Linked DNA regions of Xenopus tropicalis. The protein of the gene in region 2 purifies or fractionates together with the protein of the main gene of each other region. This does not show direct contact. Links are inferred from orthologs where the notes say so. Each region holds a gene or a part of one and is shown on either strand. Other genes may lie near its edges.

What was found. The genes of interacting proteins can lie anywhere in the genome.
Region 1: the proteins of smad4.1 (region 2) and smurf2 purify together in Homo sapiens (affinity purification with western blotting; 3 studies listed by BioGRID). This does not show direct contact. The link is inferred for Xenopus tropicalis from reciprocal best matches to the Homo sapiens genes SMAD4 and SMURF2.

Annotation. Positions count from the first base shown.
Region 1 is NC_030686.2:51,424,131-51,430,670, reverse strand, and holds the start of smurf2 (E3 ubiquitin-protein ligase SMURF2), read right to left. Parts: upstream 3,651-6,540; 5' UTR 3,411-3,650; coding exon 3,359-3,410; intron 1-3,358. UniProt on the Homo sapiens protein: E3 ubiquitin-protein ligase which accepts ubiquitin from an E2 ubiquitin-conjugating enzyme in the form of a thioester and then directly transfers the ubiquitin to targeted substrates.
Region 2 is NC_030677.2:205,056,114-205,062,364, reverse strand, and holds the start of smad4.1 (mothers against decapentaplegic homolog 4), read right to left. Parts: upstream 4,353-6,251; 5' UTR 4,190-4,352; intron 1-4,189. UniProt on the Homo sapiens protein: In muscle physiology, plays a central role in the balance between atrophy and hypertrophy. When recruited by MSTN, promotes atrophy response via phosphorylated SMAD2/4.

The DNA.
Region 1 (6,540 bases), on a different chromosome or scaffold from region 2:
CCCGGTACCTGGCCTTACACAGTACCATAATGGGTCAGAACAACATGCACATCCCGGTACCTGGCCTTACACAGTACCATAATGGGTCAGAACAACATGCACATCCCGGTACCTGGCCTTACACAGTACCATAATGGGTCAGAACAACATGCACATCCCGGTACCTGGCCTTACACAGTACCATAATGGGTCAGAACAACATGCACATCCCGGTACCTGGCCTTACACAGTACCATAATGGGTCAGAACAACATGCACATCCCGGTACCTGGCCTTACACAGTACCATAATGGGTCAGAACAACATGCACACCCCGGTACCTGGCCTTACACAGTACCATAATGGGTCAGAACAACATGCACACCCCGGTACCTGGCCTTACACAGTACCATAATGGGTCAGAACAACATGCACACCCCGGTACCTGGCCTTACACAGTACCATAATGGGTCAGAACACATGCACACCCCGGTACCTGGCCTTACACAGTACCATAATGGGTCAGAACAACATGCACATCCCGGTACCTGGCCTTACACAGTACCATAATGGGTCAGAACAACATGCACACCCCGGTACCTGGCCTTACACAGTACCATAATGGGTCAGAACAACATGCACACCCCGGTACCTGGCCTTACACAGTACCATAATGGGTCAGAACAACATGCACATCCCGGTACCTGGCCTTACACAGTACCATAATGGGTCAGAACAACATGCACATCCCGGTACCTGGCCTTACACAGTACCATAATGGGTCAGAACAACATGCACATCCCGGTACCTGGCCATGGAATCTGCAGCTGGGACCGGCCCAGAGGAACACGCTGACAAAGCAGGTCATCACTGCATTTATAGCATTGACATTCCCAGCCATAATGACTTTATAACGCCGGTCTGTCAGGGGGGAAACCTGGGGCTACGCCGGTCTGTCAGGGGGGAAACCTGGGGCTACGCCGGTCTGTCAGGGGGGAAACCTGGGGCTACGCCGGTCTGTCAGGGGGGAAACCTGGGGCTACGCCGGTCTGTCAGGGGGGAAACCTGGGGGCTACGCCGGTCTGTCAGGGGGGAAACCTGGGGCTACGCCGGTCTGTCAGGGGGGAAACCTGGGGCTACGCCGGTCTGTCAGGGGGGAAACCTGGGGCTACGCCGGTCTGTCAGGGGCGAAACCTGGGGCTACGCCGGTCTGTCAGGGGGGAAACCTGGGGCTACGCCGGTCTGTCAGGGGGGAAACCTGGGGCTACGCCGGTCTGTCAGGGGCGAAACCTGGGGCTACGCCGGTCTGTCAGGGGGGAAACCTGGGGCTACGCCGGTCTGTCAGGGGGGAAACCTGGGGCTACGCCGGTCTGTCAGGGGGGAAACCTGGGGCTACGCCGGTCTGTCAGGGGGGAAACCTGGGGCTACGCCGGTCTGTCAGGGGCGAAACCTGGGGCTACGCCGGTCTGTCAGGGGCGAAACCTGGGGCTACGCCGGTCTGTCAGGGGGGAAACCTGGGGCTACGCCGGTCTGTCAGGGGCGAAACCTGGGGCTACGCCGGTCTGTCAGGGGCGAAACCTGGGGCTACGCCGGTCTGTCAGGGGCGAAACCTGGGGCTACGCCGGTCTGTCAGGGGGGAAACCTGGGGCTACGCCGGTCTGTCAGGGGGACATGGGCCTATGGGCACAACTCTATGGCTTCTGTATGTTTGCCTATAGGCACAACTCTATGGCATCTGTATGTCTGCCTATGGGCACAACTCTATGGCTTCTGTATGTCTGCCTATGGGCACAACTCTATGGTATCTGTATGTCTGCCTATGGGCACAACTCTATGGTATCTGTATGTCTGCCTATAGGCACAACTCTATGGCATCTGTATGTCTGCCTATGGGCACAACTCTATGGTATCTGTATGTCTGCCTATAGGCACAACTCTATGGCTTCTGTATGTCTGCCTATAGGCACAATTCTATGGCTTCTGTATGTCTGCCTATGGGCACAACTCTATGGTATCTGTATGTCTGCCTATGGGCACAACTCTATGGTTTCTGTATAAATGCTCAGAAGGAAACTGCCAGTGTGAATGACTCCATAAGAAACCATGATTCATATTCCATGTACTCTCTCACACTCAGCTGCACTTGTACTGACAATGCAGGGCACCTAGGCCAGAGGCCCACATATTGTGAAACTACATCTCCCAGCATTCAGTGTGAGCAAAAGGCAACCCGAACAACAGGGTTCACAATTAAAGGACAATGCCAGACAAGGCCAATACTCACTACCATGGATGCCACTGTAAATCTCTGCATGCCAAGCCATTGTGGGCATTTCCTATGGTTAGAGTGGGTACCCATGATTGCTTTTAATACCAGCCCCCCTGTAGTCAGTGAGGAAAGGGGGGCCCATATGGTAAGGACTTAGTAATACTGCTTTTTGAATGCCTAGGCAACCAGCTGTTAAAGAACTACAAATCCCAGCATCCTCTTCAAAGATGAGTTAAAGGGCAAATAAGGTCCAGCCAGAGTTCCAGTAGCCAAGGGTGGCAGTGCCCAGGGCAGATCCATTACATACCCCAATGACCACTCCAGATTTCACGCAAAATACAGTAAAATGCCATTAAAGGACTAAAACTTATTTCACAATCGAGATGCAACTCAGACACATTGGGGCTGAGGAGCCATGTTGGTACCTTGAGCAGGGGCAGAATCCAAAGAGCAGCAATCCTAGTTGCCCCAAATGCACATTAGCCCAGAAAGGGGATTGCGAAGCCTTGAAGGAAGATGGTTGCAGCCCCCAGGCCTGGCCGATAGGGGAGGGGTTGGGCATTTGGGGTTTATTTTAGGGTTCCTGGCGCCCCCACAAGCCTACACAAGTGACTTCTTCCCTCTAATAAGTACCCCCTATACAGGGGCAAGTGGCGCAGGAATCAGGCACATACATGAGCTAACTGCCCCATACAGGGGTACAAGCGCCAGACTCATATAAACTCTATTAATTAGGTCTCGTTATTGCCCTGTAATTAGGGGGCGCACTCACAGCCTGGGCAGGACCCCAATAAGCACAGGGTGTGACCCCAGAAGCACCCAGGGCCCCAAACCAACTAGTTACCCCCACCTAGGGCAAGTAATCCTGCCTCAAAGGGCAATTGCTCAGCTCCAGGCCAAGCCAGAGGGGCCCCTGGGCTCAATGGAACATGCAGGTTAGGCCTGAGGGGTAACTAACGGCAGGAAGTAGCTGGGGTGAATATTACCCTACTTGCCCCCGGAACTCATGACAAACGCACGGAATGCTGGGAAGCACCGGGCCCAACTTGTTGTTGTGATCCCTCCCACCCTGAGCCTTCTGCCCCACGCAGGGGTATCGGGCCTACTCACCGGTCAGTCGCAGCTTCACCGGCCCGTTCCGCCGGGATCCCTGGTTAGACATGGCCCCGGGGAGTCCCACAGCAAGGCTAGGCCCGGGCCGCGGCCTGGAGTACGGAGGGAGGGCGGGAGAGTCAGGCGGACTGTGGGGGCCCCGAGTTACCGACTAGCGCCATCAGCCTGGGGCAGAGCGGAGACAGCACTGAGCCACACGGGCCGGGGGAGCCACTCACAGCCCGGGGAGGAGGCACCGGGGAACAGGGGCGGGGCACAGGCGGGAATGGGGCGGAGACACGGACACTTGTGGGAGGAGACTGCAAGTAGCGGGAGGCAGGAATGTGGGCGGGGCCGGACACTGTGAGCGACGCACAGTCTGAGACTCACCATTACCCAGAGTTCCTCACTGAGAGACACTCACTGAGAGACACTCACACCATTACCCAGAGTCACTCACTGAGAGACACTCACTGAGAGACACTCACTGAGAGACACTCACACCATTACCCAGAGTTCCTCACTGAGAGACACTCACACCATTACCCAGAGTCACTCACTGAGAGACACTCACACCATTACCCAGAGTTCCTCACTGAGAGACACTCACTGAGAGACACTCACTGAGAGACAGTCACACCATTACCCAGAGTCACTCACTGAGAGACACTCACACCATTACCCAGAGTTCCTCACTGAGAGACACTCACACCATTACCCAGAGTTCCTCACTGAGAGACACTCACACCATTACCCAGAGTTCCTCACTGAGAGACACTCACACCATTACCCAGAGTTCCTCACTGAGAGACACTCACTGAGAGACAGTCACAACCATTACCCAGAGTTCCTCACTGAGAGACACTCACCCCATTACCCAGAGTTCCTCACTGAGAGACACTCACTGAGAGACACTCACACCATTACCCAGAGACACTCACTGAGAGACAGTCACACCATTACCCAGAGTTCCTCACTGAGAGACACTCACACCATTACCCAGAGTTCCTCACTGAGAGACACTCACTGGGAGACAGTCACACCATTACCCAGAGTTCCTCACTGAGAGACACTCACCCCATTACCCAGAGTTCCTCACTGAGAGACACTCACCCCATTACCCAGAGTCACTCACTGAGAGACACTCACTGAGAGACACTCACACCATTACCCAGAGTCACTCACTGAGAGACACTCACTGAGAGACACTCACACCATTACCCAGAGTCACTCACTGAGAGACACTCACTGAGAGACAGTCACACCATTACCCAGAGTTCCTCACTGAGAGACACTCACACCATTACCCAGAGTCACTCACTGAGAGACAGTCACACCATTACCCAGAGTCACTCACTGAGAGACAGTCACACCATTACCCAGAGTCACTCACTGAGAGACAGTCACACCATTACCCAGAGTCCCTCACTGAGAGACACTCACTGAGAGACAGTCACACCATTACCCAGAGTCCCTCACTGAGAGACACTCACTGAGAGACAGTCACACCATTACCCAGAGTCACTCACTGAGAGACACTCACTGAGAGACACTCACTGAGAGACACTCACACCATTACCCAGAGACACTCACTGAGAGACACTCACTGAGAGACACTCACACCATTACCCAGAGTCACTCACTGAGAGACACTCACTGAGAGACACTCACACCATTACCCAGAGTCACTCACTGAGAGACACTCACTGAGAGACACTCACACCATTATCCAGAGTTCCTCACTGAGAGACACTCACTGAGAGACACTCACACCATTACCCAGAGTCCCTCACTGAGAGACACTCACTGAGAGACAGTCACACCATTACCCAGAGTCACTCACTGAGAGACACTCACTGAGAGACAGTCACACCATTACCCAGAGTCACTCACTGAGAGACAGTCACACCATTACCCAGAGACACTCACTGAGAGACACTCACACCATTACCCAGAGTCCCTCACTGAGAGACAGTCACACCATTACCCAGAGTCACTCACTGAGAGACAGTCACACCATTACCCAGAGTCACTCACTGAGAGACAGTCACACCATTACCAGAGTCACTCACTGAGAGACACTCACTGAGAGACAGTCACACCATTACCCAGAGTCACTCACTGAGAGACAGTCACACCATTACCCAGAGTCACTCACTGAGAGACACTCACTGAGGAGACACTCACCCCATTACCCAGAGTCACTCACTGAGAGACAGTCACCCCATTACCAGAGTCACTCACTGAGAGACACTCACTGAGAGACAGTCACACCATTACCCAGAGTCACTCACTGAGAGACAGTCACACCATTACCCAGAGTCACTCACTGAGAGACACTCACTGAGAGACACTCACACCATTACCCAGAGTTCCTCACTGAGAGACACTCACACCATTACCCAGAGTCACTCACTGAGAGACACTCACACCATTACCCAGAGTCACTCACTGAGAGACACTCACACCATTACCCAGAGTTCCTCACTGAGAGACACTCACACCATTACCCAGAGACACTCACTGAGAGACAGTCACACCATTACCCAGAGTCACTCACTGAGAGACATTCACACCATTACCCCAGAGTCACTCACTGAGAGACACTCACTGAGAGACAGTCACACCATTACCAGAGTCACTCACTGAGAGACACTCACTGAGAGACACTCACACCATTACCCAGAGTTCCTCACTGAGAGACACTCACTGAGAGACAGTCACACCATTACCAGAGTTCCTCACTGAGAGACACTCACACCATTACCCAGAGTTCCTCACTGAGAGACACTCACTGAGAGACAGTCACACCATTACCCAGAGTTCCTCACTGAGAGACACTCACACCATTACCCAGAGTTCCTCACTGAGAGACACTCACACCATTACCCAGAGTCACTCACTGAGAGACACTCACACCATTACCCAGAGTCACTCACTGAGAGACAGTCACACCATTACCCAGAGTCACTCACTGAGAGACACTCACACCATTACCCCAGAGTCACTCACTGAGAGACAGTCACACCATTACCCAGAGTCACTCACTGAGAGACACTCACACCATTACCCAGAGTCACTCACTGAGAGACAGTCACACCATTACCCAGAGTCACTCACTGAGAGACACTCACACCATTACCCAGAGTTCCTCACTGAGAGACACTCACACCATTACCCAGAGTCCCTCACTGAGAGAC
Region 2 (6,251 bases):
TTAATTCTTAAAATGGCAGTTTTCTATTTAGTATTTACTAATACAATATATTTATATGAAAATGGTTTATTTAGATGAAGCAGGGTTTTACATATGAGCTGTTTATGCAATATATTTTTATAGAGACCTACATTGTTTGGGGGTATAGTTTTCCTTTAAATAACCTCCAAGTTGGCATGCCCTGGTCGGTAGGGCACCCTAAATACATTCCCTATAATACCCCAGGGTTCCAGGGGGCTATATGCCCATAAGCATGCCCCTGGCAGATAAACAATCTCACAGAGATGTGCGTGGATTCTTCACCTTCTCGCACTCCCATCTGTAAACAAACCGAACACACATGGAAAATTCTGCCGCCTGGTCTATGCCAAAAATAACAGAAGAGGAAACTGTTTTGAGTCAGCAAAGCGTTCGTGCAAAGGGAGAGCGCATCTGGATCAGAAGAGTCTCTTTGCCAGGGGGTGGGTGCCATATACTCAGACTGCCATGGGTCCCTTCTGGCACCACCAGATACGGATCAATATAAAAACTCCATTGTCACTAATGAAGAACTCAGTGTCAGTAAAGGAGAGAAATATAAACCTTTTGCGGAATCTGATACCTTAATGGATTCTGGAGCGCAGAGCCCTAAGGGAGCCTGATGTGACCATCACAGCCACATGTCACTTCCGATAGCCGTCCCCAGGCCTGTGCTGTCAAAACACCATTACTTTACACACAAAAAAGGCAAAGGAAGGGATCCATCAATCCATGGCACGGATGGTTATCACGGGCAACTAAAATCCTTAATAAACTAATTTTTTTTAAATTACTATTAGGGTGTACAGCTGCTGTACAATTTATTTCAGACAGCAGCCCTATGAAAGACAAACTACTACCTATAATTCAACCAAATGTATGTGCCCAAGTTCCTTTGAAGCATTTGTCCTTCCGTTCTTTCATAACGTAACCAATAAAAGCAGCTACCTTACGGGGCAGATTTCAGCTGCTGATTTGGGTCCTTCAGACAAATACTGCAGCTTATCTACCTGAGTATGGGCACCCCCCACGGGCCTACCCCAACAGATCTTGATTTTCCCGTCGGATAGGGGCTCATTGATGCAGTCCTCGGTCCGACATCCCATATACCCCCCAAAGGATCAATTTAGCCCAATATCTCCTACCTTAGGTTGGCATATCGGGAGAAAATTGGGAAAAGATCTGCTCGTTTGGCGACCTCACCAACAAAGCAGATCTTAAGGTGGCCATACACGGGCCAATTCTAGCTGCCGATATCAGTCCCTTAGACTGACTTGACAGCTTATCGGCCCGTGTATGGGCACTACCGACTGGCCTGCCCAACCGATATCTGGCCTAAAATCAGGCAGGTTTAAAAATTTAGTTGGACCGGGGACTGCATCGGCTCGTTGATGCGGTCCCTGAACTGACTGCGCCTATACCCGTCATTCTAATTCGATCGTTTGGCCCCAGGGCCAAATGACCAAATTAGCCCGATATCACCCACCCGTAGGTGGGGATATTGGGAGAAGATCCGCTCGCTTGGCGACCTCACCAAGTGAGCAGATCTTACTGTGTATGGCCACCTTTAGTCCCTCCAGATCAAGTCAGCCCCATATTAGCCAATATATGGAGCCCTCCTGCTGGCCTGTCTGACTGATATCTGGATCCAGTTTGGCCACCACATTACAGAATCCTGTTGGGCCCCTATTATGGTTTGGTTGTTGGACTGGGAGCCAAAATGTTCAGACCATTACAGATTCTACGTGTATTCCCAGTAGGGCTGCACCGAATCCAGGATTCAGTTCGGGATTTGCTTTCGGCCGAATCCATGCTCCTGGACGAACCAAATTCAAAAAATCACGTGACTTTTTGTCACGTAAACACGGAAGTTGAAAATGTAACCCTTCCGTACCCTAATAAGCATTTGCTAATGAAGATGTAACCCTTCCGTAACCTAATTAGCAATCTGTTCGTTATTCAGCCAAATGGATTCGGTGCATCCCTAATTCCCAGCTTTACACTGATATGTGCTTGTCACTTAAATGCACAGATCTGTTCTGGTAGAAGGATACAGAACTGTGTAACCCCCCTAGGGCATAGAGTATGAATAATAGAGAAGAATTGCAGACACCAGGCGGAGATATCTTGCATACACCGGTACTAATATCAGTACAGCACGGAGGCTCAGAGCAATCTGCCAGCCCAGTATAGTGCTTGTGTATAATCCAATGATGGTAGATGGGATAGCGGCCCGCCGGCTGGCATGCTAAGAATGAGGCTGTATTTAATAATATGCCTTGATGGTGTCTCCTCAACGACTGTTAAAAGAAGCAGCTTGAGCCCCGGCGCTTAATCCGTGCATCAGATATAATGTTTCACAGAAGGGGGGGGAACTGGATCATGAATTTCAGCAAAGGAACATTGTGTACGGAATCAGAACCACCAATCACATCGCTTCATGCGCAGAGACATTAAGGTGCCTGCACGGCTTAACCCCCAGCTGCTCTGCTTTATGGTTGCACAATGCAGCCGCACCACCTGTGAGCCCAACATCCCCATCGATCTGCCAACTGACAATGGTTTGGTGTTCACCGACACAGTGACACTATATGTCTTTTTTTGCATTTGGCTCGATGTATATGGGCACAGAACCCCTCAGTGACTTCTAATATCCTTATCATTTACAGTAGGGGGTACATTATCCCTTATAATACATGAGTGATACTCAGAGTTCCCTGTATAACTCAGCCTGCAGCCTTGTGCCTTTATATGGGCACAGAGCCCCTCAGTGACTGCTCATATCCTTATCATTTACAGTAGGGGGTACATTATCCCTTATAATACATGAGTGATACTCAGAGTTCCCTGTATAACTCAGCCTGCAGCCTTGTGCCTTTATATGGGCACAGAACCCCTCAGTGACTGCTAATATCCTTATCATTTACAGTAGGGGGTACATTATCCCTTATAATACATGAGTGATACTCAGAGTTCCCTGTATAACTCAGCCTGCAGCCTTGTGCCTTTATATGGGCACAGAACCCCTCAGTGACTGCTAATATCCTTATCATTTACAGTAGGGGGTACATTATCCCTTATAATACATGAGTGATACTCAGAGTTCCCTGTATAACTCAGCCTGCAGCCTTGTGCCTTTATATGGGCACATAACCCCTCAGTGACTGCTAATATCCTTATCATTTACAGTAGGGGGTACATTATCCCTTATGATAATCTTTAATAACAATAATGTAGAAGAAGCCAGCAGATAGATCTGGAGGAAATCAACTTCTGCTACATTGTTGCAAGAGGCCTCATCCGCCAAATAAAACTACTCCTAGTTACAATCCAGTCTAACATTGGAACATATGACTAGTTGCTAGGCAGCAGCCCTATGCCATAAGAGCGTTGAAAGGAAGCAATGTTTCCTAGAGGCTTACTATTCTCTTTAAAGGGGAAGTAAACCTAAACCTGCCAGTCCCTTTCAGCCCACAGTGGCCTGGTTTATGGGCGGGGGGAGCTAGGCTCAGATATTCCTATAACCTCTCTCTGTGCCCCAGCTACCGAGTCCTACAGCAGTATTGTCCAGTAATCACTGGGGTAAGTGTTGGGGTTGTAGGTTCGATCCCAGTCAGGGCATTATATATATATATTTGTATATTCTCCCTGTGTCTCCTGTTCTACCCATTGGAAAGCATTAGGAGAGGCGGTTTGACCATCCCTACCTGCCACTGCCCATCCCTAGTAGCAATAAAATAACCCCATGGTTATTGGGAACCATTAGGGGTCAATAAACCCTCCTGTACATATCAGCCTCAGCCAGGGAGCTTACAATCAATCAAATCCCCAACCTCTAAGAGGTGAATTAGGAAACCACTATAAGGGTTTGGGCTTCTCTGTCTTTACTGAACTACAACTCCCATCATCCCCTGCAACAACAATAGCCGCACAGGATATGTGTAAGAGCTGACAAACCGTAACTCCCATAGGCCCCTATGGGAAAAGAGGAGCTTTAAAGGCGCCCGTAAGATAGGCAAGCGCCTCACCGCCTCCAGTGTTTGTGCCCCGGAGCCTCAGCCCGTCCCCTCCCTCTCCATGAGCGGCAAGGCAGCTAATCCCCGGGCGGCCTGGGAACTACACTCCCAGCCCAGGCCCGGAGCAACCCCTTCCTTCCCGCCTATTTCCTTACCGAATTCGAAGTGAAGAAAAGCTCCGTTTCTTCCGGCACCCCCCGCCCGCTCCACAGCGGCCCAGGCCGCGGACAACAAGAACCCCCAGATACGGGCCGCGCCTGCGTACCAGCAGCAACAGCAGCAGCGATCCAGCCTACATCCGGGCCACTGAGCAGGGGGTGGGCGGGGCCGGCATGGAGCGGGAAGGAGGAGGCGGGGAAGCGTGGAGAAAGGAAAAGGCTAGTTAGGGAAAGAGGCGTGGCTGTATTAGAACAGGGCGGAATTGCCAGTCTGTGGGCGGGGCCTTACTAGCGCAGTAGTGCTGCATTCTGGAAGAAGCCCTGCTTACTGGATTGCTTCTGCTAACGGGGCTGGTTACGCTCCCAGGCCTGCTGCTTGATTTTGGGAAAGCCTCTGCCTTTTATTTATATTATTAACCCTTTGCTTTAGTCTCACAGTGCCAGTACAGCAGCAGCCAATCCTAAACCAGCAGCCAGGGCCGTCAAAAGTAATCATGCGGCTTCAAGTATTAACCCTCCAGTCACCTGGGCCCCAAAGGTGATGAACCCTGTAAAATGGGGCCCTTAAAAAAACAAAAAGCTTCTATGTACATGGTACCTATATGGGGCCCCTGACTGCAGAGAATATAGCCCCTGTACATGGCACCTATATGGCCCCCTGACTGCAGAGAATATAGCCCCTGTACATGGCACCTATATGGGCCCCTGACTGCAGAGAATATAGCCCCTGTACATGGCACCTATATGGGCCCCTGACTGCAGAGAATATAGCCCCTGTACATGGCACCTATATGGGCCCCTGACTGCAGAGAATAAAGCCCCTGTACATGGCACCTATATGGCCCCCTGATTGCAGAGAATATAGCCCCTGTACATGGCACCTATATGGGCCCCTGACTGCAGAGAATATAGCCCCTGTACATGGCACCTATATGGGCCCCCTGACTGCAGAGAATATAGCCCCTGTACATGGCACCTATATGGCCCCCTGACTGCAGAGAATATAGCCCCTGTACATGGCACCTATATGGGCCCCTGACTGCAGAGAATATAGCCCCTGTACATGGCACCTATATGGGCCCCCTGACTGCAGAGAATATAGCCCCTGTACATGGCACCTATATGGCCCCCTGACTGCAGAGAATATAGCCCCTGTACATGGCACCTATATGGGCCCCTGACTGCAGAGAATATAGCCCCTGTACATGGCACCTATATGGGCCCCTGACTGCAGAGAATATAGCCCCTGTACATGGCACCTATATGGGCCCCCTGACTGCAGAGAATATAGCCCCTGTACATGGCACCTATATGGCCCCCTGACTGCAGAGAATATAGCCCCTGTACATGGCACCTATATGGGCCCCTGACTGCAGAGAATATAGCCCCTGTACATGGCACCTATATGGGCCCCTGACTGCAGAGAATATAGCCCCTGTACATGGCACCTATATGGGCCCCTGACTGCAGAGAATATAGCCCCTGTACATGGCACCTATATGGGCCCCTGACTGCAGAGAATAAAGCCCCTGTACATGGCACCTATATGGCCCCCTGATTGCAGAGAATATAGCCCCTGTACATGGCACCTATATGGGCCCCTGACTGCAGAGAATATAGCCCCTGTACATGGCACCTATATGGGCCCCCTGACTGCAGAGAATATAGCCCCTGTACATGGCACCTATATGGCCCCCTGACTGCAGAGAATATAGCCCCTGTACATGGCACCTATATGGGCCCCTGACTGCAGAGAATATAGCCCCTGTACATGGCACCTATATGGGCCCCCTGACTGCAGAGAATATAGCCCCTGTACATGGCACCTATATGGGCCCCTGACTGCAGAGAATATAGCCCCTGTACATGGCACCTATATGGGCCCCTGACTGCAGAGAATATAGCCCCTGTACATGGCACCTATATGGGCCCCCTGACTGCAGAGAATATAGCCCCTGTACATGGCACCTATATGGGCCCCTGACTGCAGAGAATATAGCCCCTGTACATGGCACCTATATGGGCCCCTGACTGCAGAGAATATAGCCCCTGTACATGG